4 linked regions of the Alligator mississippiensis genome follow. The protein of the gene in region 1 interacts with the protein of each later gene in a biochemical or structural test. Links are inferred from orthologs where the notes say so. Each region holds a gene or a part of one and is shown on either strand. Other genes may lie near its edges. The genes, in order: UBE2I, CFTR, NR5A2 and PIAS4.

Region 1 (8,036 bases):
ATCTTGCTGTGGCGAAGTACAAGTGATGCAAATTGCACTGAATGGATCTTAAGAAAGAATTTGATGTTTCCATGCAAGTGTCCGGACTATCTGCACTGTCACTCACAGGAGGGCAGAGTCCATGCCCGGGCTGCAGGGTGTAATTTGATCACCACCTGCAGCTACCAAGCACTTTTTGTTCCTACTTGTAAACATCAGCTGGATTGTATTGGAGTGAGCTTTTGATGCCTTCTCTTACACGGTCCTCAGTGAGCTAAGGAAATGCAGATTAGATGAAAGTGCTGTAAGGTAGATACATAACTAGTTGGATTATCATGCTGCAAGTGTAGTCACCAGTAGCTCAATGTGTAGTTGGAAGGAGGCATCGAATGGGTTCCCCGGGATCTGCCCTGGGTCCAGCGCTGTTGAATAGCTTCCTGAACTTTTGGAGGATGGGACTGAGTGCACATTTAGCAAATTTGCAGATGATGCCAAGTTGGACGGAGGTGCAGACACTGGAGGGTGAGGCTAGGATCCAGAACGGGTGAGCAAGACATGGCCTGCAAGCTGGATGCAGCCTGCCAACTGACTGGACCTGGCCACGAGCAGACGCCCAGCAACTGACTGTCAGCCTGCAGCCGCCCCTGCAGCACGCTGCATGGGGCCGAGTCTGCTCTGCTCCTGCACCAGGCCCACCAGACAGCACCACCCCGCCCCAGCCAGGGCACACAGCTTCCCAGCGGGGCTGCTGTCACACTTGCCCAGGTACTGCTAGTTACCCCTGCCTCCAGTGGCTCTTCCTCCTCCTGCCCCCTGTGCCACTCGGGGCAGCAGGCAGCATGGGGAAGCCGTGGGGACGTGTGCCAGGCAGCAGATACCCAGCGTGTAGGGCTCCGGGTCCAGCTCTTGGCTGCCTTCCACCCATCCTGCCCTCCCAGTGTAATGAACACCTGTGGGCAGCTGAACGGGTGGGAGGCATCCAGGAGCCGGAGCCCTGCACACTGGGGCAGGAGCTGCCTGGCCGCAGCTTCTCCCTGGCCTGTCTGGGCACCCGGCTCCCAGCACGGGTCCTTACGGCTTCCCCGCACTACTGCTGCCCAGAGAGGCGCAGGAGGAGGCAGGGGAGCTGAGTGGTACCTGGGCAGCTGTAAGAGCAGCCCCGCTGGGCAGCTGTGCCGGCCGGGGCTCAGGCGGTGCTGTCTGGTGGGCTTGGCCCCATGTGGAGCGCTGTGGACGGGGTGGGGTGGGGTGGGATGAGCCACACCTGAACCTGCGCTGCCCGCATGAATTCTGCTGCATGCATCCCGCTCCCCCTTCCTCCCCCACGGCCGGTCAGCTCCCAGGACCTAGCGCACGAGCGCTGCCCCCACATATAAGAGTAGGACTTTATTTCGAACTATTCAAACACATTACAGTAGATGTTTTGACTGTGATGTGCGCAACCCTCAACAGCTCATCAAACCTCATTAAGTAGGCCCAGCCAAAGTAACTGCCCACCCCTGATCCAGAATGATCTTGACAAGCTGGTCCAAAATGAGTTGAATGAAATTCAATAAGGACAAGCGCAGAAGTCCTAAAGGTAGGAAGGAGCAATCACAGGTACAAGCACAGGCTGGGAACGGGAACGCGTGGTCAGGCTGCAGGGACGAACCCCGGGGCTACAGTGAACCGTAAGTTGAAAATGAGTCTTGCTGCAGACCAAACCAAACCAAACCAAGGAGCCCCACGTCCTGGGCTGCATTAATACCACGCAGGCACTTGGCCAGTGACTTCCCTAGTTCAGGTGTTTAAACTGTCCTTAAACTTGGACAGAAAGTATGTACTGAATGAATATTATTTAAATACAAATTAAGGGACGGGATTCTCGCACCCTTGACAGCGCTGGTGAAGCCTTGTCCGACATACTCCGTCCAGGTCTGAGCATCGCACGGAGACATGTGGACAGATTAGACTTTTATGGACAGCCACAAAAATTATGAGAGATCTGGGAATCTGGATTTAGGAAGAAAAGCTGAAAGAACCGGGAGCGTTTCGTGTAGGGAAGGCTGAGAGGGATTCGATAAGTCTTCAGATACCTGAAGGGAAGTTAGAGGAGGGTTAGTCTCTGTGGGCACAGGAGACGGGACAAAGAACGGTCTCAAATTGCAGCCACAGACATTTACGCTACGCGTTAGTTAGCAGCGTTTCCTTGCGAGGGTGGTCACGCGTGGACCGGCGCGGGGACCTCCACCCCTCGCCGTCTCGGAGCAGGTTCGAGGAACGCCTAACCAGGTCGGTTTGTCAGGAGGGATCCTCTCTCGAGCAGGGGATCGGACGCGCGACCTCCGAGCCCCCGTCCAGCCCTGCTTTTCTACGGCTCTTTAATAGGCTTTAAAAAAAATCTAAGCCGTTGATTTGCCCGGTACGCTGGCAAGAGGCCGATGACGCAGGGCAGGGCAGGGCAGGGCAGGGCAGGGCACGGCCGTCGCGCCGCGCAGGGGCAGCGTCTCTCCCAACGCGGGCCAGACCCAACGCGACGTTAAGCGGTCAGACGCCCACAAGGACAGCTGGCCGCAGCCCCCCCGCTGCGAGGAGCGGGACCCGCGCAGCTCGGCGCCTCCCGCCAGGGCTGCGGGTGCCCGGGGCCGCAGTGCCGCGATGCCAGCGGCACGTGCTCGCCCCGTCGGGCTGGGCCGCGTCCGCGACGCCCGCCTCCCTCGTGCCGCAGGCGAGCGCGTCCCCCGCGCCGGCCTCGCCCTCACCCTCGCCGTGGCGGGCAGCCCCGGGGTGCCGGGGACACCTCCCTGCCGGGCGCCCCGGGGCGGCGCGGGCCCAGGCCCACTCCAGAGCCGGGACCGCCGCGCCGCGCCGCGCCGCGCCGCAGGGGAGCGCGGGGCGGGGGCGGGCGGCGCTGCCGGGCGGGACGCTGCAGCGGTTGGCGCGGCTCCGCGGGCCGGGCCCTGGACAGCGCCCCCCACCCGGGAGCGGGCCGCGGCGAGGGCGGGCTCTTCCCGGGCTGCGCCCCCCGGACACGACACGCGCGCGGGCAGCGGCCCCCGCCCCGGGGCCGCCTGGTCTCCGCGAGCCCCGGCCTCTCCGGCCCGCCCCCCGCCCGGAGTCCGCTCGGCCCCTCCCTGCGGCCGCGGACTCGTCCTCGCGCGCGCCAGGCCAGGGCAGGGCAGGGCAGGGCAGGGCAGGGCAGGGCTGCCCGCACGACGGGCGGAGGCCAGGGCGAGCGGCGCCACCTCCGAGCCCTCACACCGCCGCCCCGGCCGGGGTCCTAAGAGCCTGAGGCCGCAGGTGGCCACCTCGGTGCCTGCAGGAAAAGGCCGGTAGGGCCGCGGGCTGAGCAGAGCAGAGCGGAGCAGAGCGGAGCGCGCTGCGGAGCGCAGCGGAGTTAGCCGGGCCGGGCCGGGCAGCCGAGACTTGCGGGAGCGCCGCGCGCCTCGGGCACTAACCTGGCCACCTGCGGGTCTTACGTGCTGCGGGGGCGGCCGGCGTGGCGGACGGGTCGGGGCGAGGGTCAGAGCGCGCCGGCGCAGCGGGACGGACGGGTCGGGCGGAGGGACACGCCGCGCCGCCGCGCTCCGCGCCGAGCAGGAGGGAGGGAAAGTCCGGAGCAGAGACAAAGGGGGGGAGCGGCCGGGAACATCCGGGTCACTCGCCGCCGCCTCAATCCGGGACACGCGCGGGTGCTGCGGCCGCTCACGGTGAGGCCCGGCCGGGCGGCGGGGGAAGGGAAGGGCCGGACCGGGCCGGGGGAAGGGCGGCCGCGCCGGCTCCTCCGGGCCCCGCGGGGCGGCTCCGGCCGGGGCGGGCCGCGGTGCCGGCAGCCGGGCCGCCCCCTGCCTCTCCCCGGCCCCCTCCCCGGCCCGCGCGGCCTCCCCCGGCCCCGGCCCCGGCCCCCGGCGCGGGGAGGCCGCGGGCCCTGCCCCAGGCGCGGGCGGCGCCGAGGCCCGGCGCGGGGCGCTGTGCGGGGCCGCAGCAAACTTCCCGCCGGCCCGGCCCCGTGCGGCACGAGGGGCGGCCCCGGCGCTGGCTTGGGGCTGGGGCCGGGGCCGGGCCCGCCCGCCCGCGCGCAGCCGGGGCTCCCGGGGGCCGGGACGCGGGTGCGGCCGGGCTGGAGGTGTTTGCCGAGGCGGGGGAGGCCCCGCGCTCGGGGGCGGCGGACGACCACGTTTAGGAAGGAAAGCGCCGTTCTTTACGTAAGGGCGAGCCGGCGGGAGTCGTTGCTCCAGATTTAAACGCATAGTTTGGCTCCTGGAGCCGCCGCGCGGGCGGAGCGAGAGGCGAAGCGAAAGGGAGGCGCGAGGACCGCGGTCGGAGCCGAGCGGCAGGGAAGGAGCGCGGCGCCGTTTGTGGGAGCGGGGTAAGGGAGAAGCGGGAAGGACGGGCTGGAACGGGGGCTCGAGCACGGTCCTCCGTTCTCCGGTCTCGCCCGGCGGGGCTGGCCTCAGCAGCAGGCGTGGCCGGACGCTGCCGAAGGCCTGGCTAACTTGTTTCCCCTCCGAACGATGGTGACCTGGCCCAGCGGGGCCAGCCTTTTTGGTGGATGTGCCACAAATGAAACCTCCCAGAGTACTGCTCCGCTCCCTGTCCTCACCCCACCTGCTGCTCTGTTTTCTGCTCCCCCCCGTCTGTCGCGTGCCACTTGTTGGCCCCGTATGACCTAGGGCTTCTCCCTTAGTAGCAGGTGTTTGTGTCCTCGTAGAAGAATTATTAGAATAATGATTCTGCAGGATATGGCGAGCTTTAGATATTTGCATTTGGTTTTTAGGAGTGAGTGGAACCTGGGGTATAATCCGTACGAGGACTCTTCGCCAGCGATCGGAAGAGCTGCGGAGGGCCGAGCTCGCAGCAGCGTGCAGAACGTACCCGTGCTTCTGAGCACGCTGAGGAAGAAAGCGGTGTTTACATTCACGCTCTGTCACACAGCGTGGTTAGACGCTGCTGCGTGCCAGCAGGCAGGGTACCAGAGCAGAAGCATTGAGATCTTCCCTGGGGTTCTTGGTTTGCTTCTGAGTCTGGAATGAGAAAGGGTTAAAGTTAATAGAGATCTTCTGTCAGTGCCCATAAGAAGTCCGTGGTACTTTCTGCCTGAGGATTTTGATGTGTTCACAGTTCATTTTGCATGGCTGCACATGTTGCAAGGTGTGTGATCTCCCACTTCCACAGGTGAATAAGCAGACACTAAAATGAAGCGGCCAGCTTTGAATTGTATTACTTACAAGTTACATTACTAGAAGAAAGTTAAACTGGCTGTCTGTAAAGTCTGTATCTGCAACTGTCTGTCCAGAAAGAAAAATACAGGCAGCACATACATCTGGGGAATGGGAGTGTTGATCGTACCCAGGGCCTCGTGTTTGGAACCTGCAGCGTAAACACTTCAAGGGAAGCTTTTCAAAACTCTTGACATTGAGAGAGAACCTAGAAACGTTTCTTCAGCTAGGGGGAGCCTCCGAAAATGTGAGAGTCTGTAACCTGGTCCAGGTCTAGGTTGAGTCGCTTGAAGTGATTTGCCCGTGGTTACTTACCCAGGAAGCCTGTGGCATTTCTGGGAACGAAATTTAGTCCAAGCAGACCTGACTTGTACCTTACCCTCTAGACCAAGACCGTGATTCTTCACATTGCCGCTCGGGTTGTTTACGCTTCGGTGCAGAGGAAATGTGAGCTTGGCTAAAATCATGTTTGGCCAATTCTTGGGGTGGGGGGTTCTTAAGGGGTTTTTTCCATTGACATCTCTTTCTTTGTCAAATCTTTTGTTTCAAGCCTCTTTCCTGGCTAGTTGCTTGGAAAGTCATAAGCCTTAGAAAAAGGCTCTGAAAATCAATTAAATGTTGTATTTAGGTTTGTATTATAGTGTCCAATTCTGTATTTTTTTTTAATTTCAGGGATAACATTTTAGTTTCTATTGTACAGTCAGTTAACTCAGACACTATATGTATGCTGTGAAATCCATATCCAGGTCTTCAAGCTTGAGCTCAGATGATAGATGCAAGTTAAATTATAAAAGAACAAATTTTGAAAATAAATTCATAACGTGAAAGATCTTGTGATTTTTGGATTTATATACTAATTATCATGTGACTAGTCCAATGTTATCCATTTGTATGGCTCTAGTAAGAAATTAAAAGATTTCTAAGTAATTCTGAAAATGGAATTTAAGTCTAAAGTTACTCTTCTTTTTTAAAATATTCTCCTTGCCTACTAAACTAACTTGCTGAATGAAATAAGCTGGTGAAAATGTTGTGCTATCTAATGACTATGATTATTTGTTTTGAAATATATAAAAATCATAGTAATATTTAGCAGTGACAGCTTTTAAAAATGTTTCCTTAATTTTCCCGCTCATATTAGTGAAGCTAACTATGTCCATTTTACATTGAGTGGAGAGTGGGTAGAAGTAGGAAATCAACTTTATTAGATGAGAGGAAAAATATTTATGTAATAGTGTTATGGTCCTTTTAAAAATTTTAGTTCAACTTGCTCTTGAAGTATAAGTGTATAAAACCATTAATGCAGATGGTAGTCCTGCATATAGTCTCTTTTACGTTGGAAACAAAAAATACTTCACTGTCTGCAGGTCACTTTGGGAATAGTTTAACTTGAACTCTGATGGATGTGTTAAGCTGAATCTAATGCCTTCTACTGAACTATGAGGGGAACTTTATGCTGTATAATAAGAAAATCACAGGCTTGTTAGTCCATAGCAGGGTGCATACCTGCTGGAGCAGGCAGGAAGGCTAGAAAAAGAAGTACAAAATTTTACCGTAATGAAATAGAAGATGAAGGTGCAGCATGTCACTTTTTGGAAAACGCCGTTTGTTGGTGGTTTTTTGGTACCACGCGGGTCACAGAATGCATGGGTTAATTAAATTTGCTCTGATATAACTGTTCGTTAATCTTGTGGAATTTGCATTTGTGCATTCGCAAACAAAACTTGACCCTTAATATTTTTCTTAGGAGTAGCTGTTACCTTTTTTTTGCCTTTGAAACTTAGGGATACTGTATCAAGCCATAAGCATAACTGATTTTCATGGTTTTTTAACCGATGGTTGCAGTGTAGCCCAGAGGACCATCAATTGCTTTAACAGATCTGTTGTCTCATGCTGTGATTGGCAACAGGTAGGGAGAAACTGAGGATGAAATACTGAGTATATTATGATGATGGTAGGGTTTACTGCATATTTATCTTTATTCTGCTGGGGCTGACCTTGGTTCACTAAATGAAATTAATTATTTTATAATTTGATACAGTGAGAATATTTTGAAATAAGTATTAGTATCAAAGTGTCTTGTGTTTATTTTCTATTAAATCCAGTTTTGCTACAGATGGTTAATGGCACGTACAGTGTCTGGTAATCTGCAAATATTCTGGCATTGTGAAATCCAAATATCCTTTTCTTACTTACCTAACTTTAATCAGTATAGAGAGATAGTTAGCCATGGTAGTCTGAAGTTGAGTGTGGATGCACCTTCTAGATGTGGGTGAGCAAACGTTTTTAGCTGTGGGGTGGAATGACCCACCCTGGGTTGGAGGTGGCCAGGTGGGCACTAGGACCCTGCCACAGCCAGTCTTCATCCCTGCAGTGGCGCGGGAAGTGGCCACAGATCCAGCCCAGGGGCCACAGATTGCTGACCACTGCCAGAAAGTGATTTACAGGTGCATGAGCTTTCAAGAGTAAGAGCTCACTTCATCAGGTGCTGTAGAAGGACACAGTTTGCTCTGTGCGTGTCCTTTCAAGCCATCTGCTGAAATGAACTCTTGCTTATGAAAGCTTACACATCTCTTAATCGAGTAGACCAGTGATTCTCAACCACGGTGCTATGGCACCCTGGGATGCCGTCAGATCCTTGCAAGGGTGCCATGGAGTACCATGCAATGTTAGCACTGCTAGGGTTGCAAACATAATGATAAACTCAGATTTCAAATAGGAAGCAGGGTGTTAAAAACATTGTGACCTGTTGTGGTCTGTCTTTGCAACAGAAGAATTGCTCTATTACCTTCTTGCAGTCAAAATTGAGGGAAAACTAAGAACTGGCATTTTCCAAGGAGTGCCTCGAGTCTAAAAAGGTTG
Region 2 (7,955 bases), on another chromosome or scaffold:
CATGAGATGAGGATCTTTGTGGATGATCTCTTTTATTGAACCAAGTGCATGGTTGGGACACATTGAAACATAATTTTAGGTATCAGAGTAATCTTCCTTCTGGGAGAGAAGCAGGCACAGCAGAGTGAGTGATTACCAAAAAAAAAAGAGTAAGGGTGCTGTGATATTCCCTCAAATTATCCCAAATTTACCCCAAATCCCCTAACAAATCACCCACAAAAATCGTGCCTCTCACGTTCTTTAATGTTTTAAAAATCTAGCAAATCTTATTACTTAGTACTGTTGCAGATAAATTTAGGAAACAATTCTGTCTTATACTTTATAAATCCTGTTTCGTAGAGCAAAGATAGTGGGAAGTGAGGTTAATTTATTGTTTGACATGGGGTTATTTAATATGCAATAGTGAAGCACTTTCTTTTGTGGTCAGTATTTTTAAATTGCTGTATGTTTCAGCAGCTGACTGTTGCTGGCCCTCAGCAGAGCTAATAGCTAGCTTCATGTTCTTTTAAAAATGAATCTTCTGAAAACTGAATTTTCAGTAACATAGAATGTTTGAAAGTTATAGCAAGTGAAGAACCTTGTTTGATAGGACATTCACAGGAAGAGGGGATGAAACATAATCAAACCCATAATAAGATCTTACTTTGCTGCAGCACCTGAAGTACTGAAAACAATTCCAGAAAGCTGGTGCTGTTGGCTGGTGACACATAATTTCTTTATGGATGACTGAATTTATCTTTGCCTGTCTATTACAGGGAGGATAGATGGTGCAAACACTACCTACACACCTCAAGTTATACCTGAAGGGGAGTTACCACAAGTGATTAAAAAGAAACCTGTGTGTGGTTTCTACTTTCTTCTACCAACAGGGATGACTGTCTTTGATAGAAGGAGTCTAATCTAGTTCCTGAACCCCAAATCCTTCAATAATTTCTCAAATACACATGCTGTCCCTAAGTGTTTTGAACCTCTTAAGTCCAAAAGTACTGGGGGCACTTAGAAGTTTGCAGTGCCAGACACAACAGATCATTTCAGGACATGCTTGTGCCAGTCTCAAGGTGGGCACGCAGACACACTTTCCTTAGGGAGGGAAGGCATTGGTCCTAGCTAGTGCCTATAGACATATTTGATACCCAAAAGAGAAGGCAGTGAAGGTAGGTTTCATTTTGTACCAGTTTATAGAGCTGGTTTCATATGATGGCTGTGTCATTGGTCATCTGGTTTGCTCATTCAGGCAGCTCCTCTGCATACCTTGTAGCACAGGTCACACCCAAATTGTTGCAATGGGGCAGTGGTACTCAACTGGCTTGTCCAGCAGGACAGATGGGCAGTGCCCAGTCCCTCTGCGGGCCAGATCCAGGTGGTGGCACCTAAGGCAAGTGTGACAGGGCCCCATCTAGCTATGCAGAGGAGGGCAGGGGGCAGCCCAGCTCTGATCTAGCTGTGTGGGGGAAGGGAGCATGACCTGGGCCTGATCGAGCCATCCTGGGTGAGGGTCATGGCCCATCTGTGACTCACTGTGCAGGATTTGGGATTTTTGCAGTGAGGGTGGGGGTATTAGCTGCCACTGCTCCCCCACTGCCAACTTATCCAACACATGGGGAGTCCTGCAGGCTAGATGCCAAGGCTCTGGCCTGTGGGCTGGAGGTTGAGCTTCCCTGGTCCAGAGCAAAAAGTAGTGCTTTGGAGATTCAGATTTCTGTACCAGCATGTCTACTTCAGGATTGCTGGAGGCAGGAAACTAGCTGTATCTGTGGTACTGGGAATTCCCCTGTGCCGGAGGAAATTCCATTTAGTGAAATATGCCAAGTCTGAAGCTGCTTTTTGATATTGGAAGGATGCACAGCAGCCTTAAGCAGGGCCAAGAATACAGAAATGACAAAGACAAGGTGGTGCCCATCAGAGAAGCAAGTGAAGTTGCCCAGTAGGTTCGAGTTTGCCTGTGTGGCTGTGCAAATTAGAAAACCAAACTGCTACAGTAGGTATGTGTTATAGATTACAAAAGGGAGGGAAAATGAAAGGAAAAAGAAAAGAAACAAACAAACAGAAGTTAAAACAATGTGTCATGTATATGGTACCTTTGTATCTTTCCAATAGTGTGTACTTTGTTACCAGGCAATCAATCAAAGAGGTGGAACTTGTTTTCTTTCTTTTCTTCTCACCCACAGTACACCCTTGAAACTCATTCCCTGCTGGGTTTCACATATATATGCCCATAATAACATCCCTAGTTAGTGGCAAGACTCTGACAGCACTACAGGTTTCCCTGTGAAAGAGTTCATTAAATGCCAGCCAGTAATCCGGTGGCATTTGTTAACGTAATACTTTAAAGCCAATCTGTTTATCTTTATCCTTGCTTTCTTTGTGTCAAAAGAGATTTTGCCATGACAAGAGAAATGAGAACCAGAAATGAGGAATTAATGCTGGTATTCCTAACGAGTTCAGAATGTTAAAGGCCAGATTCACTGAAAATCTTTGGTGCCATTGTTCTAAGGCAGTGCAAACTTTTAATAAGCCTGATATATATGGCCAGTTAAACTAGGTTTATATTCACTTTACAGAGAGGAGTGAAAATCCCCCCTCCTTCCCCCCCCCCGAGTATAATGGTGAATCTGGCCCTAAAATTATGATGATGGGTTATTTATATAGCCTTCTAGCTGGTGCAAGCTATTTTGAAAGTATACAAAGCCTGATATTCTTTCTGACAGCACTTTCCCAAGCATTTTCTGAAAATCTATCTTAAAGGGGGCGCCATGACGCAAACTGTCTCCTAGAGATCTGAAGTCAGCTGATGCAGCCTGCAAGTTAGCCCACAAAGCTGGGGATGCAGAGCAATGCCAGGTCACCCTGGAAGTACATACGCCTCTGTGTAGACTCAACTTTTGAAATCCTGACTGCAGTTTAGAAGAGCCTGGAGGGAATTCCTGGAGGAAGATGGCATCATTGCTTCCCTGCTCATAGCAGTGAATCACCCTTGACTGTAACTATCTCCATGGGTGGGAATACTGCAACTCTTGTGGATGCAGGGCTGAATCGAATCCATTCTTAAGGTAGAACAGGAGGTGCTTACCCAGTAATTAGGGTAAGGCAAAATACACCCAGTTTAGGATAAGGTGAGGGGATGGGCAAAGAGTTGTAGTTGATCAGCTACTCAGACCACATTCCCATGAGTACAGTAGACCTGACTTACTTATGCTCCCTTCCTAACAACTTCTCTGCTTCAAGCACAGTAAATTTTGTTTCTTCAGGCTGTGGCAAAATGCCCAGTTAGATGCTAATCAAAAATGCAAATAAAAAAAATGTAGAAAGAAACAATGTAGTAGAGACTGTTTTCCCAAAATATAGGGGGTATGAAACTGTAAATCTTTTTTTTCCTTGTCTCAAGATAGATTAAGAATTGTTTAGTATAGTTTCAGAGCATTATGCATGGGCTTACAAGGTACCTGTCAAGGGCAGTCACCCTTATTAAACAACAATACTTTGGAATGAAGTGGGGAGGGGGGCGGAGGGGGGAGGCGCTCTTCAGAACTATCTTAGCTTACTTGCAGTAGTCATGTAGTATTCCCTCAGTTTTATTCATTTCATGATTGCCAAATTTTCTGAATGTACTGCAGTTTCTTTTATGAAACAAATTGGCAAGTGTGTTTTTTTTCCCAAAGGACAAGGGATTAGTAGTGTTTGCACAAGCCATGTACACAGTTCCTTTCTGTCATCCTGTACATGACCTAGCTCATCCTTCGAGGTGACCACCCAGGATTTTTACCTAACAAGATTTTGAGTTATTTTAAATATGAAGGCATTCACAAGAATTAGAAATGTATCTCTGATATCACTGTTCCCTAACTTCAGCAGCAAAAGAGTTCATGAACAGCCTGAACAGTTTTCCCCTTGCCACTTTCAAAAGCATATTCTGATCATTGGTTTTACCGTGACATATTATGAACTGTGTGCACTTTTTCATGTAAACTGCAGCTAAAGACTGAGCTGAGACCAAACAATTTATCTGAAACAGAGGATTTCTGTGGTTGCAGAAGTGAAAGAAAATCCTTTTATTGCTTAAAAAAATTCTCCAAAAAAATGCTTAAGCATAATTATCCACTTGGAATACATCTCATTTCCCCAAATGCTTAATAGACTAAATTAGCAGGATTATTGATTTATTATTCACATGATTATAATCTTTTAAAATATTTGTAATGTTAGATTATGTGTGTACACACATGAACATTAAGAGTCATACACATGCATTATGCACCTCATTTACAGAGAGGCCTCTGTATGACATGCATAATATTACTTTTATACTTACTTACGTCCTTTATGCTGCCAGAAGAATATAACGTGGCCTTAATATAAATCAAGAATCAGGTTAATTTTCTTTATATAATACACATTTATAGACACACAGAGTGACATTTACACTAAAAATAACCTCCAATAAACAACTTCTAGCCTTGAAATGACCCTCTTAATATATTCCTTAAAGTTTTGTTTGGCCCTTCATTGCAGACTGTCTCTTTTAGGAAACATATCTTGTAAGTCTTTTCTCTTTTGGATGGCTTCAAATTTGTGGGCTAGGATTTTCTGTTCATCACTTTAATTGTAATCATAAAATGTATTTTTGTGACAGATGGACAGACACATAAAAATGCATGCAGCGATTACTTGCAACCTACTTCTTACAGTTATCTACTTAATTATTTTGTAGAAAACGATTATATTTAACAATGAAAGTAAAGCTTATTTTCACTGTAACCTTAGGCATCTCCAAAATGGTACTTCTACTACTGTATGTACTTTACTATGTATCTTAAAGATGCTTGTTAATTGCATTTTTCTTAATCTTATGTTTTCAAATGACCTTATTAATAAAATATGATGAAAAATTTGAACAGGATCCCTTGGGGATTCATTTCAAGTAGTGTGCACTATAATGCATGTAAGGAGTACCATGAAATCAATAGCTGATTCATTACAGTTACTAATGACTGTAATGAATCAGCTACGAGTGTTACTCGTATAGGGCAGCTAGTTAAGATTATCTTCTTGGTTTTTTTTCTGTGAGTTGATAGATATTTTGGAACCAATATCAATAGGAATGAGATTAGGTCCAAAATCTTTCTTACATTTTAAGTGTCCAAAAATTATAACTCAGTTATTCCTTGAAAGTATGGCTATCTGTCATAGTAGTTTCCACTAACATTAATGGAGATTATTATTTAACCTGAACATTGTGCTAAAAATGTACTTTTTAAGGCCTGTATTAAAGTTAAAAAAAAATTGAAAATGTTTAATAATGGATAAAAGCTATCATTGGCACATCCATTATGCCTTGATCTTGCAAAAGATCACACATAATTTTCAGTGTCTATTGCCAAGTGAACAGTTATGCATATAAACAATAAGTTAAATTTCCTTACTTGTAAGATTAACTTCTGTTTCTAATGTAACAACATTTTTATGTAATATTCATTAGCACAGAGACTACACATTCTTGAAAATAGAACTCCAAAGGCCCAGTCTACTGCTCACTCTACTCCTAGTGATTTTTTGGGGGAATGTTTGTGTAAGAGTCATGCATAAAATAATCCAATTTAAGAAATCCAATGCTGTTCTACTAATGTTATCCTTACCTACATACCAAAGTATTCAAAAGCTACATTCTTGGTTAACAAAGTGTCATTTTATGGTTTATTTTGTAATGCTCTGTTGCATAGTGAATTATATATGCAGTGCTGGATATGACCTAAATAGCTAACGTCCCTCCAAAACGAATCTTGGAATGTAGTAATAAATCTTCTTTTGTTTAGGTGGACAAACCCAATTTTGAAAAAGGGTTACAGACAGCGATTGGAATTGTCAGACATTTATCAGATCCCCTCCGCAGACTCTGCAGATAATCTTTCTGAAAAATTAGAAAGGTATGATTATGTACATATTTATTAGCATTATATCATGATGTGGATGGCAATGGCTTGATCTGGAAGAGTGAGTGAGGACTAGTGAAGGTATCAATTCAGCTTGCTTAATTGTAACAGGACACCAGAAACACTAGAACAATAGAGTTTTCAGCTGCTTTTAAAGTCCTGGTTAGGTTGCGGGCAGTAATGGTTCAACCATGTCGTTGGCTTAGTTTTGGAAAACTGGGTCACTTCTGGCCTGGTTTCAGGCTTGCAATCTCATTTTTAGTTTTGTGGCTGCCTTCTTCCATATCAACATATCACACCACTACCAACTATTTTTTCTTCATAGTCTAAGAAAATTCCATCCCGTTGTTTTAATATCCAGGGCTAAGTCTTGTTCTCAGTTCTACCTACTTAAGTCTCCCTGCCTTCACCTTCCACATACCCCCTTGGCTTTCACCTTTCTCTTCCAGAGCTAAAAATCATTTTCCTCAGGATCCATCCTCACCTTAGAACTTCCACCTCTGAATCCCTCCATTGGCTTTCTTGAACAAAGGAAGTTTTTCCATGATCTCCTTTCAGACTTTTATGACACCAACTCCCTTCACTTCTATTCCCATTTTTTTCACTCTGCCAACACCTTTTTTCTCACTTCTCTCTCCCTGTTTTCACCTTTTGCCTTCTTTCATACTTCAACTCCAACTTTAAAAAAACCTTCCTCACCTCTAGTGCAAAAGACACCTGCACGCTCTTTGTTCAAATCCTTCTTTAAAACATACTTCTGCAAAGTCTATCAAAGTTAGCATATCCTTGCTGCAGCTGATGAATGGAACCCATGTTAAATATATATTATATAAATGGGAACTTCATGCACTGTTTGATATTTGACCATCTCCAGAGGACCAACAAAATATTTAATTGTGTAAGCAGAATGTCAATGGCTTAGGGTGGTGATTTTCATTTGTGGTATTGTGACACCCAGGGGTGCCTTGATATTCTTTTAAGGGTGTCACAAAGTGTCATGCAATACTAGCCCTGCTAGATGTGCAAACACCTACACATGTTTCACAAAATAAACCCAGAAATTTCAAATAGAAATCCATAGCTTAAAAAAAATGTTGACTGGTTGTGGTCTTTTTGAGTTCTTTGCAACATAATAATCACTTTATTATTTTTTCTGTTGTCAAAAAAGGAGTACAGTTAGTTTTTGAAATTGAGTGCTGCTAAATTAAAAAAAAATGATGGAGAATACCTTGAGTCTAAAAAAAGTTTAGAACAACTGGAGTATGGGGTTGGTACTGCTACAGGGGCATTTTTACTCAAGGAGCACTTGCAGGAATGAATCCTAAATCATAAGCTAATTTACTTTCTTTCACAGATTATTTTAAAAAATAAAACAAACCTAAATCCTTAGGATAAACTTCCCTCATTCTCCAGCATAGTTCGGATCTGCATAGCAATGTGTGTCCACTAACATTAAAAGTAAGATGGGAAGAGAAGAAAAGAACACAGGTCTCATTTGTGGACAATGACTTTGAATGGAACTCTTTTAATGGAAGATATTTGTCTTTATGTATATTCCAAGGGATTGGATGTATTTTATAATATTAAATTTGTCATATGATAAGTTGTATTTATTAATAAAATAAAATGGGATCTATGTTTTCAAAACTGATGGCAATGTCCTGAACACATTGCTGCTACTCAGTAATTATTTATACAAGGCAGAATTTCTAGACAATATGCCTCCAATTAATTAACCTTTCCCTTTGAATATACTTTACTGTTCTTTCATTTGCCAGAATTCAAAATTAAAAATGAAAAGGAAACTGTATTAAGAGTTTCCAAAGTTATCAAATACATACTGAATATAAGTATCACAAAGCGTGGTATTTCTCTCCTTCTGACTAAAGATGTACTTCGTGATAGGAAATTACCACCAAAAAGCCCCTAAAGAATTGACAAAAACTAATGCAGTTCATTAAGCAGGCCACAGTTTAGAATACTTTTTCTTTGTTTTCTTCTTGCTGAGGGACTGGAGGAGCTCCAAAA
Region 3 (7,316 bases), on another chromosome or scaffold:
GAGTATATACTTTTATATTAACGCATTATTTTATAAGATAACTTTTCTTGACTATCATTGCTTGCTTCCAAGTAAATATTGAAATAGAATATTTTGTAGAAAAAATAAGCATTAAATCATGACAACAGAACTTTATATTGTTATACTGAAAGATTAACATCTTAGAACAACTACATTAGATTTTGTAAAGTTGAAATTTATTGAAGATACTACTTTTTCACTTTATCCTACAGAACAATAATACTCTGAATGTATATAAATCAACTAAAATCAATATTTAGGACAGTTAGGAATGAAAGTCTTTCTACAACTACATCACTTCACAACAACAAAATATTTAAAAGCGGCAGAGGCAGCCACACTGCAAAACAACCAGACTGGTGTTTTTTACATTTCTGCAAATGAAGTCTCTTTCTCTCTCTCTCTCCAAGAGGCTTCTGTATTCTGAAGAGGATTTGTTTTAATTTTGTGCATCAATCAAATCAAGAGAATCAGAAAGAAGCCAAACTACACATCTTTTTTTTTTAAACCAACATTTTTCCTTTACTTATATGAAACTATTTTGCTTCATCATCTATTAAGTAATTTATACTAAACCTTGCAGCTTTCACAGGTGAGGAGTCCATAGTGGTACCCAGACACTTTATCACCACAAACTGGACACAGCTCTTCAAGGTCTTCATCATAAGAATAATTCACCATTTTAAACTGAGACACTGGAAAAAGCAGAAAGAACACATTCAGTGATCATTTACATAAATAGTTCAAATCCTTTCCTTCTCCAACTATCATATCCACTGGGATCTGGGGAAACAATTCGTGAGAGAGAACCACCCTCTGCAAATTAAATACAAACTTTTTTTAAAGAAGAAAAGTCCACATTGGAATATGTAATTCTTCATGATCAGCAAAGCAATAGAGCTTCTTAACAAGTGAACAAAAACATAAACGTCATAGTTTTATACTCTTAAGAAACAAAGGTAGAGTTTGACAGAACTGCAGTGCTCTTGGACCAACCTATAGCCTATGGAAACAAAAACTAAGTCAAGTCACTTCATTTCACCACTTATCATGAAACATGCTTTTAGAAGTCAGAATGAAAACTGTCAAGCTTAAATGTCACTGATGTATTTCAATTAACTTTAACTCCACTGGTTTCCTTTGAAGTTCGGTTAGAATACCAATCTGTAAATATTTGTCTAACTTAAACTTGAAATCAACATAGTCAGCACTTTTGTGGTGTGTTTAATGTAAATCACTTACAGGATGAATTTAGGATACTATCCTGATGCCCAAAACCATTCATGCTGGATTCTGATCATCACCCCACCTGTAACAATATCCTGTCTTTCCATAAGGCCCCAATTGATCAGATTGAATACGAAGTGTATTTTGAATGGATTGGTTCCTTTTTCATTGACTTTCTCCTCCGAAATTGTTCTAAGTCCGCCAAAGCAGAGAGAAGCAAAACAGAAGAGACATGCAGGGGACTCTGGGTGTATTTTGGGTGGTAAAGTATGGGAACTTAATTCATTTCAGATCCTTCCCATTCTGATGAAGTTTAGGCAAAGTTAAACCCCAGTGATTCAGGTTCATGATCCTAGGAGACACAAGCAACCGCAGTGTTTGCTGAGATCTGAAAGATGCCCAGAATGTAAACAGGAAGGTCTGGTACTTTTCAAACTCGGAGCTCCCCAAACATCCCTGTGCAGCCTTAAGGAAAACTGGCAAAAAAAGAAAAAACTGCTCGGAAAACCTGCGCGCAGGAATCCAACAAAACCCCTGCCCGTGGGAGGAAAGGCGGAGGAGGGGTGGGGAGGAGGAGGGGTGCACAAGGACCTGAATGAACACACGAAACCGGGAGAGGGAAAGGGATCCTTGAGCTGGACCCCACCTTCCCCCTCCCAGTAGCAAAGAGCTCAGTCAGCACTAGCTGGTGACTCCCCAAAAGAAGCCCCCGCTGCTCAGCACTGAGCCTATTCCCTTCCCTTTTCCTGCCGCTGAGCCTGGCCAGAAGTGCCGCAGCGGTTGAGCGCTGGCGGCAGAGTCGGTGATGGACCCCGGGGCGGCAAAGTTAGGGTGGGTTTTTTTTTCCCTCTCCTTCCACTAGCATTCAGCAGCTGTCACGATATCGAATCGCCCGAGCGATTCAAAACTACAGTCGAGTCCAGCAGCAGCGGAGGAAGGGAGGGAGGGAGGAGGGAGCGGGGAAGGCGGCTGGGACGGGAGGGGAGAGCCGCGCGGTCCCGAGGCAGCGGGGAAGAGCCCGGAGCCTGCCCCGGGGCGCGGCCCTGCCCCGAGCAGCGCGGGGGCAGGTCCGGACAGGTGGGCAGAGGCTCCTTGCCCCTCTCCCCGCCCGCCCTTTGCCTGCCTCGGGCAAGCACCGGCTCCCCCATCTTCCCGCGGGGGAGGGAATAAAAGCCGTGGCCTGGGCGCGGGTCTCGGAGGGCGGCCGGGAGCCCAGCGTCCGCTGCCTCGGAGCGGCGCGCAGCGAGAGCCCGCGGGCCCCGGGATGCAACTCCTCTGGCGGGGATCCCCGCGCAGCCCCCGCGGGACCAACTTCGGGGATCGGGCCGCCTGTGCCCCGCAGCGGGGGAAGTTGAGCCAACTTGGCCCGGGGGAGGAGCGGGGGGGCGGCCGCACGCCCCTTACCTTGCATGTTTTCTGGCATCTGCCCCTGTTCCCCATTCGACCGGGCGAGTCCCAGGGCTTCCGTCTCCACTTTGGGCAGCATGACCGGGCGGGCCGGGCTCGGGGCTCCGCGCGCCTCCGGGGCACCCGCACCTGGACACGGCAGCAGAGGTTTAGGCGGGGCCGGCAGCGCTGCCCCCCGCCCCCGCCCCTGCCCCCGCGCACCTGGCCCGGCGGCTCAGAGCGGCGGCCCGGCGGCCCGAGCCATGCGGGGCCGGCGGCTCCCGGAGTTGCGAAGTTGGGACCTTCCCGGCTGCCGCGTCCGCGTCCGCGCCCGGGCGGGGAGAAGCGGCGCTTCCCAGCCGGCTGGCGGGGCCGGGGGCCGCGGGCGGGGGTGGGAGATAGCGAGTGTGCGAGGGCTCCGGGGGGGCGCCCCGCCAGCCAATGAGCGCCCTCCCCAAAGCCTCCCCTGCCCCTTCCCCTGCCTCCGCCCCCGCCTCGCGGTTGGTAAAGCCTCCTCGCCTCGCACCGCCCGCCCGGCCCCGGAGGTGCGGGGCCCTGCCCCTTCGCCGGCCGCCCTCACCCTCACCCTCACCCTCACCGTGGGGCTCGTCTGGCTCTGACCCCCTCGAGAGCCGGCCGTGCGCGGAGCTGAGGCCTCCCGAGGGGGGGCTTTGCCAAGCTGCACCTGCGCCCCCGGCGTCTCCCTGCCCCCACGAAGGGTCACCTCGCTGGGGTCACTTGAGCTCTTCCTGCCAGCGCCGGGGGCTGGACCCGATGATCTACCAGGTCCCTTCTAGCCCCCTGACAAGCTATGAGTCTATAGAGCCGAGCGGGGGCTGGCTCAGCCTCAGTTTCCCCCCTCCCAGCCCCGGCGAGCGCCCTAGACACCCCCTCCTTCTTCCCGGGAGCGGGTCCCACAGCATTTTTTGGTCTCCAGAAGTCGGATCCGCCCTGCCAGCTCTCCGGGGACGGGGATCTGGACATTTGCTGGAGGATTTGAAAGCCTCATGCCGTGGCAAGGCAGGGCTTCACTCCAAATCTGCCGGCCGGGCCCCAGGAGTGTGGGGAGCTGCCAATGCATGACCGCCCCATTAGCCGTTCACATGTTTTATATCTTTATAGATATTTTATTAGATATTTATTGAGATTAGACGAGCTTTATTCCCTCCCCCCGCCCCATAAAAGCAGTGATAATAACGCATGGGTGCCTCCTTTCAAGCAAAACGGGTTGAGCACTAAAACGCACCTAACAAGCCAGAAGGGGCTCCAGGCAGCACCCAGCTCCCCCACTGTAGCGCGGTGTCGTTGCCTTCATTTATTAACCAACCAGGTGCTGCCAGACAAAGGTCCTTTAACAGGCGACAACGGGCTCGGTGTCTAGTTCATCTGAACTTTTCCTGCCGAGCCACTCAAAACAGGATCTACACCCAAGTCCGATTCACCGCGGATCTTGGTGTGGCCGCTGCAGGAGAGGCTCCTTCCCCCTTTCTGCCTAAGGGATCGCCAGGCTGGGACCCGGGGCATTTAGCCCCTCGTGGGTTTCGGGGGAGACACTTGAAAGAGCCAAGTTGGGAGAAAAAGTAGGAAACCCCCTGCCCATTATCAAGGCTAGTTTCAAAGCCGTCATTTCCTAGCTCAGCACCTCTGCTGAAAGTAAGTTTTACACACATCCAGCCCTGGTGCAAGGGGTGGGGGGCTTGAATCTATCCCCTGGAAGATGTCTTCCTTCCTCCCCTTCTCTTGGACAGGTATGAAATGAGAGCACGCTGCTCTGGCCTTTTATACATATCATTTACTTAATTAAAAAAAAATACTCCCAAACTTTGCTGTTACCAGTTGGTTAAATAAGCCCAGGGTTTTCAAGCCTCCTTGCTGTGGATCTGATTTAGGTTTGGACTGTGCTGTCCCCGGCCCCTGCTGTTGGCAGGGGGGAAGCTGAGCCGAGCCTCCGCGGGACCTGCCCCGGGGGCAGCCGGCAGCTGCCCCGTCCCCGCGCGCCCCGCCAGGCGCCGGGCTGCTCCCCCGCGGGAAGCTCAGCCTCCCGCACCTCCCTGCTGCGGGAGAGGGATTATTAAAACCGGAGCCTATGACAGTATTTACAGCAGACCTTGGAAAGTTAGATTAATACGTATCCACAACAGATCGTCGGTCCTGCAGCTCGCGAAGGTTTTTTTTCGGAAAAGAATAGGGTGCGCTTTCTCTGCCCTTTCAGGCGAGGAGGGGGCTGGATGGCAGGGGGCTTGGAGCAAGCCTGCCCTCGTTTAGCTCAGCAGAGACCATCCGGCAGCCCCGTGGCCCAGAGGGCCACCGATCCAGGAAGATCGAGCCCTTCAGGCTCGGGCTTTCTTCCTCTACGCACACCGAGACCAGCCTGTCTCTGCTCCCCAAGCCCCTGGGTTTGTCCAGGACAACCCTGGTAGAAACCCAGGCGTGGGCAGTGCCCGCAGCGGGGCACGACTTGGCCCCAGCTCAGACTGCGCATCGCAGAGCTGCCCCGCGAGTTATTAACCGACATGGAAATACTTTAGAGCGGTTATTGCACAGCTCCATTTCTCCGAAGTAACGGTTTAGGGCAGTACGCATTATAAAAGATACCTGGTCCCTCGTGGCTACATTTAATTTAGCTTGGACTTTTAGCTCTCGCAATTGCCTTGAGCAACCTTAATTACCCTTTCTTCTAAGCTCCTTGCTAAGTTCTCCAAACTTTTTTTTATGTGAGCTCTCTCCTGAGTTTGCCTGCCTTGTTCTGACTTTGCCTGAAGGTCTTGATTGACGCGTGTAATTATAATTATAAAAGATGATGGCTTGGGGAGCCTCCAGCAGCCTTGATCAGTACAAGGAGCATGGACCTAGAATATGTGATGTTTCCCTGTTCCAATGTATGTGCATTTACATTAACAATATTGGCTGAGTTAAGTTCTTTTAAAGTCACGGGCTTCTTCAGCCCCTCCTGGTTTCTGTGTCCCGAGCTCTAGTTTCCGAGCACTTTACAGAGGCCAGAGTTGGATAAGTCTTAATGGGTCTCTCACCAAGCAGGGGCAAACGCTGTGCTATCTTTGCGTACAGAAAAAGTATCTTGCAGAGAGAGTGATATATGTATCCGTGTATGCACCCATGCACCCACACACACGCACATTATACACAGTCAGAGATATATATATATATGTGTGTGTGTGTGTGTATGAGCCAAACGCTTGTGTATATATATACATGCATCAATCAAGATACACATTATATATAGTGTGTATGTATGACTATGAGTATATTTATACAAATATATGAGTACACACATATTTATATACATACACACATATATATACAAATACACACATGCATTATTTATATATCATTTTATATATACATACACATACATTATATATCATCTTATATATATACACATACACATACATACACACATACATTATATATCATATATACATAAACATATGTACACATACATATTTATATATCATATATATGTGCATGCACATACATGCACATACATTATTGATATATCGTATTATATATATACATACACATACATATATATTATTTATGTCATACACACACACATTATTTATATGTTTCTTTTGGAAAGGTAAATCTGGCAGAAAGGAGCCCTTGATCAGAGCAGGCAAGGGGAACTTTTTGCCCCCCACCCCCAGCCCTCATACAGAAATAAATGGAAGCAGACTGTAAGTGCTGCTGGGAAGTCTAACTCCTAAAGAGTGTTACAGGGACAGATTCAGGAAGGAGCAAAGTTTGCATTCTCTGCCTCGCCTCTGTTAAAGCGGCACGTTTGCAAACAGAGTCTATCAAATTTATCAGATGGTGAAAAACGGAGGCTGTAGTCAGATGGGAGGGGGAAGAGCCATTATCAGCCCCGCTGTCCAGAGTCCACTTGCTGATGCATCTCCCCCCTCTCCCCTCCCAAATACAACACAACAGAGGAGGCACTTTGCGTCAACTTCGCGGAGCACGGAGTGCGAGGGAGCTTTTTGCAACCGGAGAAGTGCCCTTCCCTCCCCCAGCCCTTCTTCCCCTCTCCCAGTATTTCGGGCACATTTATTCCGGGAAATGAACCGTCCATTCGACCTCCAGCACCGCATTTTAGGAGATCCCTTTCTCGGATATAGCTAGTACTAAGCACGCCCCGGCCAGCCCAGAGGAGGCAGAGAGGAGAGGAGGGCGAATCCCTGCCGAGAAAGTCCTAGTTCTTCCCCGCTTGGAAGAAGGACTTTGCGCACCTTGAGATTCCTTGGGCAGGGACTCAGTGCTTTAGGAGCTCTTAGAAAGTCAACCGCAGGGAAAAAAACAAAGCCGCCCTTTGCATCTGATGTAAATAACACAGGAAAGGGGGGGAGGGTCCGGCCTGAAATACTTTCTCCGGGAAAATGTACATCAGAGGTGATCAGTCCTTTCAAAAGTCTATTACACTGGTCTATATTGAGTGCTTCGCGGATGTCTTCCTGAGATGTCGATCCTCCTACTCCGAAAGGCAGGACTGTTTCGAAGCAGTCAATTATTGACTGCCCAACTATTTTTAAAGAACAATAAAGCTTACAGCTGCACACTGGCATGGACTGATGTCTCGCACACCCCAGAGAGTGAAACTTAGCGAGGGCTTTATAGAAGGAGGAATACAGCTGGTTAAGTTAGCGGCTGGGGCTCTCTTTGATTCT
Region 4 (6,950 bases), on another chromosome or scaffold:
TACTTTCCAAAAGTAAACACAATCTCCATTTTTTTCAACAAAGAACAACAGCAAAAATGGATAATATTTGATTCTGGAAACAACTGTGGCCATGGTCAGAGAAATATTTTTCAAAAGTGCCTAGGTCACATTTTCCAAAATAACCAAGGCTCTTGAAGTCAGCCTAGTGAATACATTTAGACACCTAGATTTGTAGATGGGCACTAAATGGCACTTTAAAAAACACCTGCTCCCCAGATCCTCCCAGGTATTATTTATTATTTTATTTGGCAGACAAGGTTCTTTGGGTGAATCTGATATCCTTTATTAGACCAACTATTAAATAGTTGGAAACTATTTAAGTTGGTCTAATAAAAGCTATCAGATTCACCCAAAGAACCTGGTCTGCCTATGTCCGTAGACCAACACGGCTACAACCTACACCCTTATTCTACTTAAGCATTTATCACTCCTTGATTTCAGCTAGCGGATCTTAGGGGCCCAAACATTTGGAAGATCTCGGTTGAGTCATCTGAATTCCATTGACACTAACGTGTTTTTTGGGTTGTTTTTTTTTGTAATTTCCACTTGGCATCTATGTGGATCTTTATGTCTTTTATAAATCTAGCTCTGAAGGGTAGAAGTGAGACTCCAGCTTCAAATTTTTAAGGCAAAGGGGCACATAACTGAAGCAAACTATTCTCTTAAATGCACAGGTGACTTGAAAAACAGATCACAGGATTCCCTGCCTGCCCCAAAGCCTTCTATTCTGGGATCCTACAGCAATACAAGCTCATTGTCCCACCCTAGGTACCTGTGAAGAACGGAGATAACACCTTTTCCCAAGGCAGTTGGGGATAATTGAGTTAATTGCCATTAAGTGTGCATGCCTTAAGGACTGAGCCTGCTGCCTGTTTTTATGCAGAGTTAAAGCCTGGGCCAAACAGCTCCAAGATAAACTGGGCTCCGTTTTTTAGCCTAAGGTTCCTAAGTCACTTTGACACTTACAACATTGTTTCCCGTGATCTTTCGAAAGGCACAAATAGTCCTTAGGTGCACAACTCCTGTTGATTTTCATGGCGGTTTTGCTACTTTGTCCCTCAGAAAAATCCCCTCCCCAAACAGTCCTCAAGTCCAAAAATTATGAAAAGGGATCTAGGGCCCTATTCCTTTGCAGAGGTTTCTAAGCCCACTGATGTGCATACTGTAAACTACATCTGTCATCTCGTCAGAATTGGGGCCCATGTCGGTTACTTGAGTTTTGAAAGATTATAGTAGAAACTACCCAGTACTTCTGAAAATCTGTGAGATCTGAGGAAGAACATCTTGCATCTGAAAGTTTGTCTCACTTTATCCCAACTACGTAGTTTGCCCAATAAAAGATATCATCCTAAGAAAACCTTGCCTCTCGCATAATGTCTGGACCATCAGGGTTACAAAAATCACTCTTATGCTACTTTGAAAATCAGGTTATTTATCGAGGTGCCAAATATGGATGTAGGAATCAAACTTTGTGAAAATCTTGACCAACAAATACTAGATAGCACCTTTGCCTAGTTTACTGGGTTGCCACCTCTTACTGTTTTATTCTAGGATGACAAAATATTGGTCATGCCTTTTAATTCCTGCCCCTGGAAACAAAGGATTACTTGAAAATCTGATCTTTCATTTTTAAAGAGAAGTTTCTAGTTCTTGTGTTATAAAAGACTAAAAATATTAACTGATTGTACCTTAACATGTAGAAATCAAAATGAGAACCAAAAAAAAAAGAGTCCCAAATAGTTTTACAACATTTTTAGGTACTCTTATGGTATTTTGGGTCTTGAATAATGATTTTTGCTTGCATAGGGCTGGCAAGGCTGTGTTGGAATCCAAACCTTTTGAAGCAAATATATACATTTGAAATCTGCCTTCAACCTATGCTCAAGAGAAAGGTTCCTAAAAGGAAAAGATATAAAAGACTTGTGCGATTTTATACTTCTCTTTGGGTTTTTGGAGGGGGGTTTTTGCTTACTTTGTTAATATATTTAAATCAAAGGCCAACCAACTTTGAAGATAGATAGATAAAATATCTATCTATCTATCTATCTATCTATCTATCTATCTATCTATCTATCTATCTCTTGCACCTCCTATAGTTTATCTATCTATCTATCTATCTATCTATCTATCTATCTATCTATCTAATAGGGGTTTTGCTGCCATGGCAGAGCTGTGAGTGTGAAGTGTTATGCAAAAACCTGTATCTCTGCCTGTGGTTGTTACTCTTAGACACAGTGATATAACCACACCACCAAAGCACTTCAGCCCCTTGAAGCTAATGCCGACAGCCCTGTGGGGTAAGGCGGGTTTTTAAAATTAATGTTCATTCAGATGATCACAAGACGTTTGAGGGTCACACTTATGATTTTTGAAACTCTGGGGTCGCCGGTGCTAAGGCCTGCACCACCAGGACAGCAAGTCCCAGAAAGTCAGGACAATGCCGGCTAGCAGAGCTTGAGAGGGCAAATCTGAGGATCTAAATTTAGCATCTTCCTGACTGCAACTCCAGCTGAGTCATAGGACATCATTTGCTTTGTATCTGTTTCCATCTTGCCATATGGGTAAGGCTCATTAACATCCCTGGTGCCAAAGCCCAGGGTGTGTCAGCTGGAACAGAAGCAGGTCCATGGACCCTTTCTTCTTTCGGGGCTCTGCCCCAGGGGGCTGGGTCAGACCTTCCTGAGCCATGGGTGTCTGTGGGAGGACTTCAAAGTACAGATCCCCACTAGAAGGGAGGAGATAGCAGCAGCTGCATATTACCCTTCCTCCCCTCATCAGCCCTGGCAGAGCCTGTTCCACTTCCCAGGGATAGGCGGAGACTGGAAGGTTTTCCTTGGATAACTATGGTGGGCAACGGTGGGATCTCCTCCTCCTCCTCCTCCTCTCGGCTACTATGGAGAATCTTCAGGGGAAAGATACAGGCTCAGATCAGCCTGGGCCTCGTTGCAGGGCCAGGGTATCAAGCTCCTACGGAGCCAATCTGCCACGCGGTCAGTCGCGGGCACAGCCAGGACGCGCAAGGCCGGGGTGAGGACGGCTCCGGCCTCCCTGGGAATCTGCCAAGTTTATGGGATGCTCCCACAAGACACTTCATTCAGCTCAGGACTCGTGGTAGAGGCGATACCTCTTATTAGACCAGCTAGATTTTTGCAAAACAGTTTCTCGGATTGCAAGCTTTCGGGCGCAAGCACCCTTCATCGGGCGTCAGAGAAGAGGTTGGAAAAGCTCTGGATAGAGATGAAAGTTTCTTTCCTGGGTAGATGTGGAAGATCATAATCCCACAGGACACTAAAGCGGGTCAAAGCCCAGTCCCCAGGTGGGTAAGTAGGGTGGTGCGGGTGGGTTGGTAGGTGCGGGGGTGGGTGGGCATGCGTGCAGGGGTGTGCGTGGGTGTGTGCAGGTGTAGGTGTGTACTCCCGGGAATGACAGAAATCCAGCCCATCGTGGCGAACGATCCCAACTCCCTTTCTCCCGCAAGTTGGATCATCTCTGGAGCCCGACGGGCAGCTCGCACATGTCAAGCAAGCAGGATTTGGCCTTGTTCCCTCAAAGGACACCCTGCACCCATGAACCCACGCGGTTGGGAGCGATTCCAAAGATGCATCCCTTTGCCTTCGCCCTGAACCTGAGGACTGATGCTATACCCCGAATACAGCAAAGGAAGCACAGCACTTTACTGCGGACTATGCTCCTTCCACCCCGTGCTCGCACCTCCCCGCCCCTGGTTGCACGTGGGCTGGGCGTGAGCCCCGCTCCCTCCCTATCCCCGCCGCGCTCGGCCCCTTTAAGAGCCCGCGGCTGTCACAGGCGGAGGGGGCGGGTTTTTGGCTGCAGGCGGCGCCGGCAGGCGGCTGCACTGCGCCTGCGCCCGTGGCTGGGGCGGGAGCGAGGCTGCGAGAGTGCGCTCTGATTGGCCGCGCTTGCCCCCCTCGCCCCGCCCCGCCCCGCCGCTCACGTGACCCGGCGGCGGCTCCCGGCGCGGTGGACGCTGGAAACAAGATGGCGGCGGAGCTGGTGGAGGCGAAAGTGAGTGAGCGCCCCCCCTCCCCCCCCTCTCCCACGGGCGGCGGCGGCGGCCCGGGGCTGGGCCGGGAGCGGGGCGGCGGGGCCCGGCTCCGCCCCAGCGCGCCCGGACCCTCCCCCGGCAGCCGGCCGTGCCCCGGGGTCCTGCCCGGCCGCGCCCCCGCGGGCCGCACCTCGCCCGCCGCTCCCGGGGGACCCCCGCGCAGCCCGGGACCTCCCGCCCCGGCCCCCGCTCCTTCCCTCCTCCCTCTGCCCCGCCGCCTGCCCCTGGGGTCGCCCCGGCCCTCCCTCCCCCTCCCTCGGCTCGCGGGGCTGCGAGGGGCACCGGCCCCAAGCGATGGCGGGCAGCGTCCTCCGCTGGAAAGGCTTTTGGCGCAAGTTGCGAGGAGCTGTCCAAATACCTCCCGGCGCACAAATTCACAGCCGAACACTCCCGCTCCGCGGATGGTTTTGCTGAGGTCCGCGTCGAAGGCCGGGGAAGCTTTCGGGGATGAGCGTGCGGCGCCGGACGGTGTCGAGGGTCCCGGCGACCTTTGCATTTCAATGGAGGGGCTTTCAAAACGCGTCTAGTTTTCCAGAGCATCCCGTATATATAGTCTTGTGTGTATATATATAAGGGATGCTCTGTCTCGTATATAGCACCCAGCTCTTCTTTGTGGTCCAGCCCCACTGTGCAATACCCTGGGGTGTCTGAAGTGGGTGAACGCACCCGGGGATGAGCTCGAAGGCAAAGCTTCCTGTCAAATCGCCGCTCCTACCCGGCGACGGCCGAAGGTGCTTGGCGTACGGCCGGGTTAGGCTGGAAGGAAGGAATTCGCCTGCCCGGGGCAGCTGAGGGTTCGCGGCGCTGCCTGAGACGTGGCAGGATTGAAAAGTGGCAAAAGGATTGAAGGACGGATGCCGGTGGTTTGATCCCGCTGTTCTTCTGATGGGAGGCACCGTGGACACGTTGGTCATCGAAGGTGCGCGGGGGTGACGTGTGAGCCAAGCCGTCTTTCCTGCCCAGATGATCTTGTGAGGTCTCTTCCAGCCCTAAACTTGTGTGAATCTGTGGGCTTGGCAGACTGGAACTTGCCATCTTCTGCGCCCCTCGCCCACACGACCTCCTAGTTTATGGGAAAGCCTGCATCTGCATTGATATTGAAATAACCTCGTTAGCTAACGAAACCTGTATTTGTACCCGCTCCTTGATGAGTGAGTGACCCAAGCGTCTAGTGATTTGTTTTTCTCTGTGCCTAAATGTTTTGGGTTTTTTTTATTGGTCAAAAATCATGGTTGTGTTTTTTAAGACTTGAAACGCTTCTAAATATAAACTGCGTAAATGTAAACTGTTTTATGCTCCTGATGCCCCAAGTGATCTGAAGGCAAGAACAGTAAGTGCAGCAATAGCTTTTTTTGGAGGTGTTTTTGACTCTCTTGCAGTAGACATCTCACAGTCTTTAACGTTTCTTTATCTTAACTCTGCGGGGTGGCAAAGTCCTATTTTTTTCCATGCTGCAGACGAAGAACAGAAGCACAGAGACCAAATGACTCATCCCGAGCTACACAGCAGCTCTGTAGTGAAGCAGGGAAATGAACCCAGGTTTCCCAAGTCTTAAGACAAGTGTTCAAGCAACTGAACTTTCTCCAAAGCCCTTTCCCCCTTGCCAGAAGAAATTCCAGAACATCTCGGCTACCCGGCGTCTCAGTCCAGCCAGTGAGTTTGAGTTCTGTGTCCTCTTCAGTGAACCAGGAAGTTAGAGGCTTTCATAGTAAACTGAGAAAAATAAAATAATGTTAGGCCTTTCTGGGCTGAATACTACTTCCCACAAATAAACATGGCAAGTGAACGTTTTTGGTCTTACTTCATTTTTTTTAGTTTAAAATTAGTTTGTCCCTCTTCAGAGAATCACAAGAATACTGCTATCAACTGGTTTGCGTAGATTAATCTGACTTCAGATGGAAAGATCATTACTGGCTCTCCGATTTCACCTTCTGCTGTAGAATACTGTGTATAAAACACAAAGTACATTGAAGTGATAAATGTAGGTGCCCGCGAAACATTTTCAAGGCAGTTTGCATTTATCGGAAATGCACTTCATCGGTTCACCCTGAACACTTGTGACATTGTTTTTGGTAGTCAGGAGGGTCAGAATGATCAATCTCTGAATCTAAGCATTACTTTTAATTTAAAAAGCTCTTATTCTTATGCAGATAAGCTTTCCAATGTAGACAGATGCAATGTTGTCTTCCTGAATCTGTGAACAGGTATAGGCTCTCTGAACTTCCACAAGCATGAGAAGCTGAAATTGAGGAGATTGGCTAGTTTTAAATGGTCTTGAAAACCTTGGGTCTGCCTTAACTTAATGGTTTTATGGTGCTCCATTAGAACAGTAGCGAGGCAGGCACTGGGCCTGGTCATAGGGGTGGCTGGGCATGGGCCAGAGAAGCAAGTAGTCCCTTGGCATCCTTGCCCATCTGGCAATCTGATAGGCCCTGCTCTCACCCAGAGGATAAGAAGTCCTGGGTGATAAGGAAAGGAACTGTTCCCGTGGGCACAGGAAGACTGAGTAGAAAGGATTCTTTAAAAACATCAGACTGCAGTGACCAGAGACTGCTATGAAGATGAAATATTCAAACAGAGTCCAGAGAATACATCCTGGCAGAAAGAGGGAAGATGCTGAGGATGTCTAGCATCAAGACCTGGGTTTCTGACCAGAGGGTTCCCTGTGAATGTCATTGATGGCCTGGCCTGTCTTCCTACCTCCTGCTCCAAGAAAACCTCTTGAGCATCATCCTGTGGCTTGTTAGCATTTCAGTTCTAAAACAGGCATATGTGAGAATTCTCCTGCACATGCAGGCAGTGCTGATAACACTGGGATAGATGTGGCAGAGTCTTAAAACAGGGCGTTCTTCATACAGCCGGG

Evidence for each region.
Region 2: of the proteins of UBE2I (region 1) and CFTR, one has a biochemical effect on the other in vitro, tested with the Homo sapiens proteins (2 studies listed by BioGRID). The link is inferred for Alligator mississippiensis from reciprocal best matches to the Homo sapiens genes UBE2I and CFTR.
Region 3: of the proteins of UBE2I (region 1) and NR5A2, one has a biochemical effect on the other in vitro, tested with the Homo sapiens proteins (2 studies listed by BioGRID). The link is inferred for Alligator mississippiensis from reciprocal best matches to the Homo sapiens genes UBE2I and NR5A2.
Region 4: the proteins of UBE2I (region 1) and PIAS4 form a complex in vitro, tested with the Homo sapiens proteins (4 studies listed by BioGRID). The link is inferred for Alligator mississippiensis from reciprocal best matches to the Homo sapiens genes UBE2I and PIAS4.

The regions. Positions count from the first base shown.
Region 1 is NC_081836.1:59,499,760-59,507,795, forward strand, and holds the start of UBE2I (SUMO-conjugating enzyme UBC9), read left to right. Parts: upstream 1-4,986; 5' UTR 4,987-5,089; coding exon 5,090-5,109; intron 5,110-8,036. UniProt on the Homo sapiens protein: Accepts the ubiquitin-like proteins SUMO1, SUMO2, SUMO3, SUMO4 and SUMO1P1/SUMO5 from the UBLE1A-UBLE1B E1 complex and catalyzes their covalent attachment to other proteins with the help of an E3 ligase such as RANBP2, CBX4 and ZNF451.
Region 2 is NC_081827.1:48,757,071-48,765,025, reverse strand, and holds the start of CFTR (cystic fibrosis transmembrane conductance regulator), read left to right. Parts: upstream 1-4,951; coding exon 4,952-5,017; intron 5,018-5,754; coding exon 5,755-5,921; intron 5,922-7,955. UniProt on the Homo sapiens protein: Epithelial ion channel that plays an important role in the regulation of epithelial ion and water transport and fluid homeostasis. Mediates the transport of chloride ions across the cell membrane.
Region 3 is NC_081828.1:67,865,752-67,873,067, reverse strand, and holds the start of NR5A2 (nuclear receptor subfamily 5 group A member 2), read right to left. Parts: upstream 3,009-7,316; 5' UTR 2,857-3,008; intron 2,840-2,856; exon of another isoform or gene 2,785-2,839; 5' UTR 2,735-2,784; coding exon 2,653-2,734; intron 1,677-2,652; exon of another isoform or gene 1,307-1,676; coding exon of another isoform or gene 1,264-1,306; intron 717-1,263; coding exon 598-716; intron 1-597. UniProt on the Homo sapiens protein: Orphan nuclear receptor that binds DNA as a monomer to the 5'-TCAAGGCCA-3' sequence and controls expression of target genes: regulates key biological processes, such as early embryonic development, cholesterol and bile acid synthesis pathways, as well as liver and pancreas morphogenesis.
Region 4 is NC_081839.1:5,585,898-5,592,847, reverse strand, and holds the start of PIAS4 (E3 SUMO-protein ligase PIAS4), read left to right. Parts: upstream 1-3,940; 5' UTR 3,941-4,020; coding exon 4,021-4,047; intron 4,048-6,950.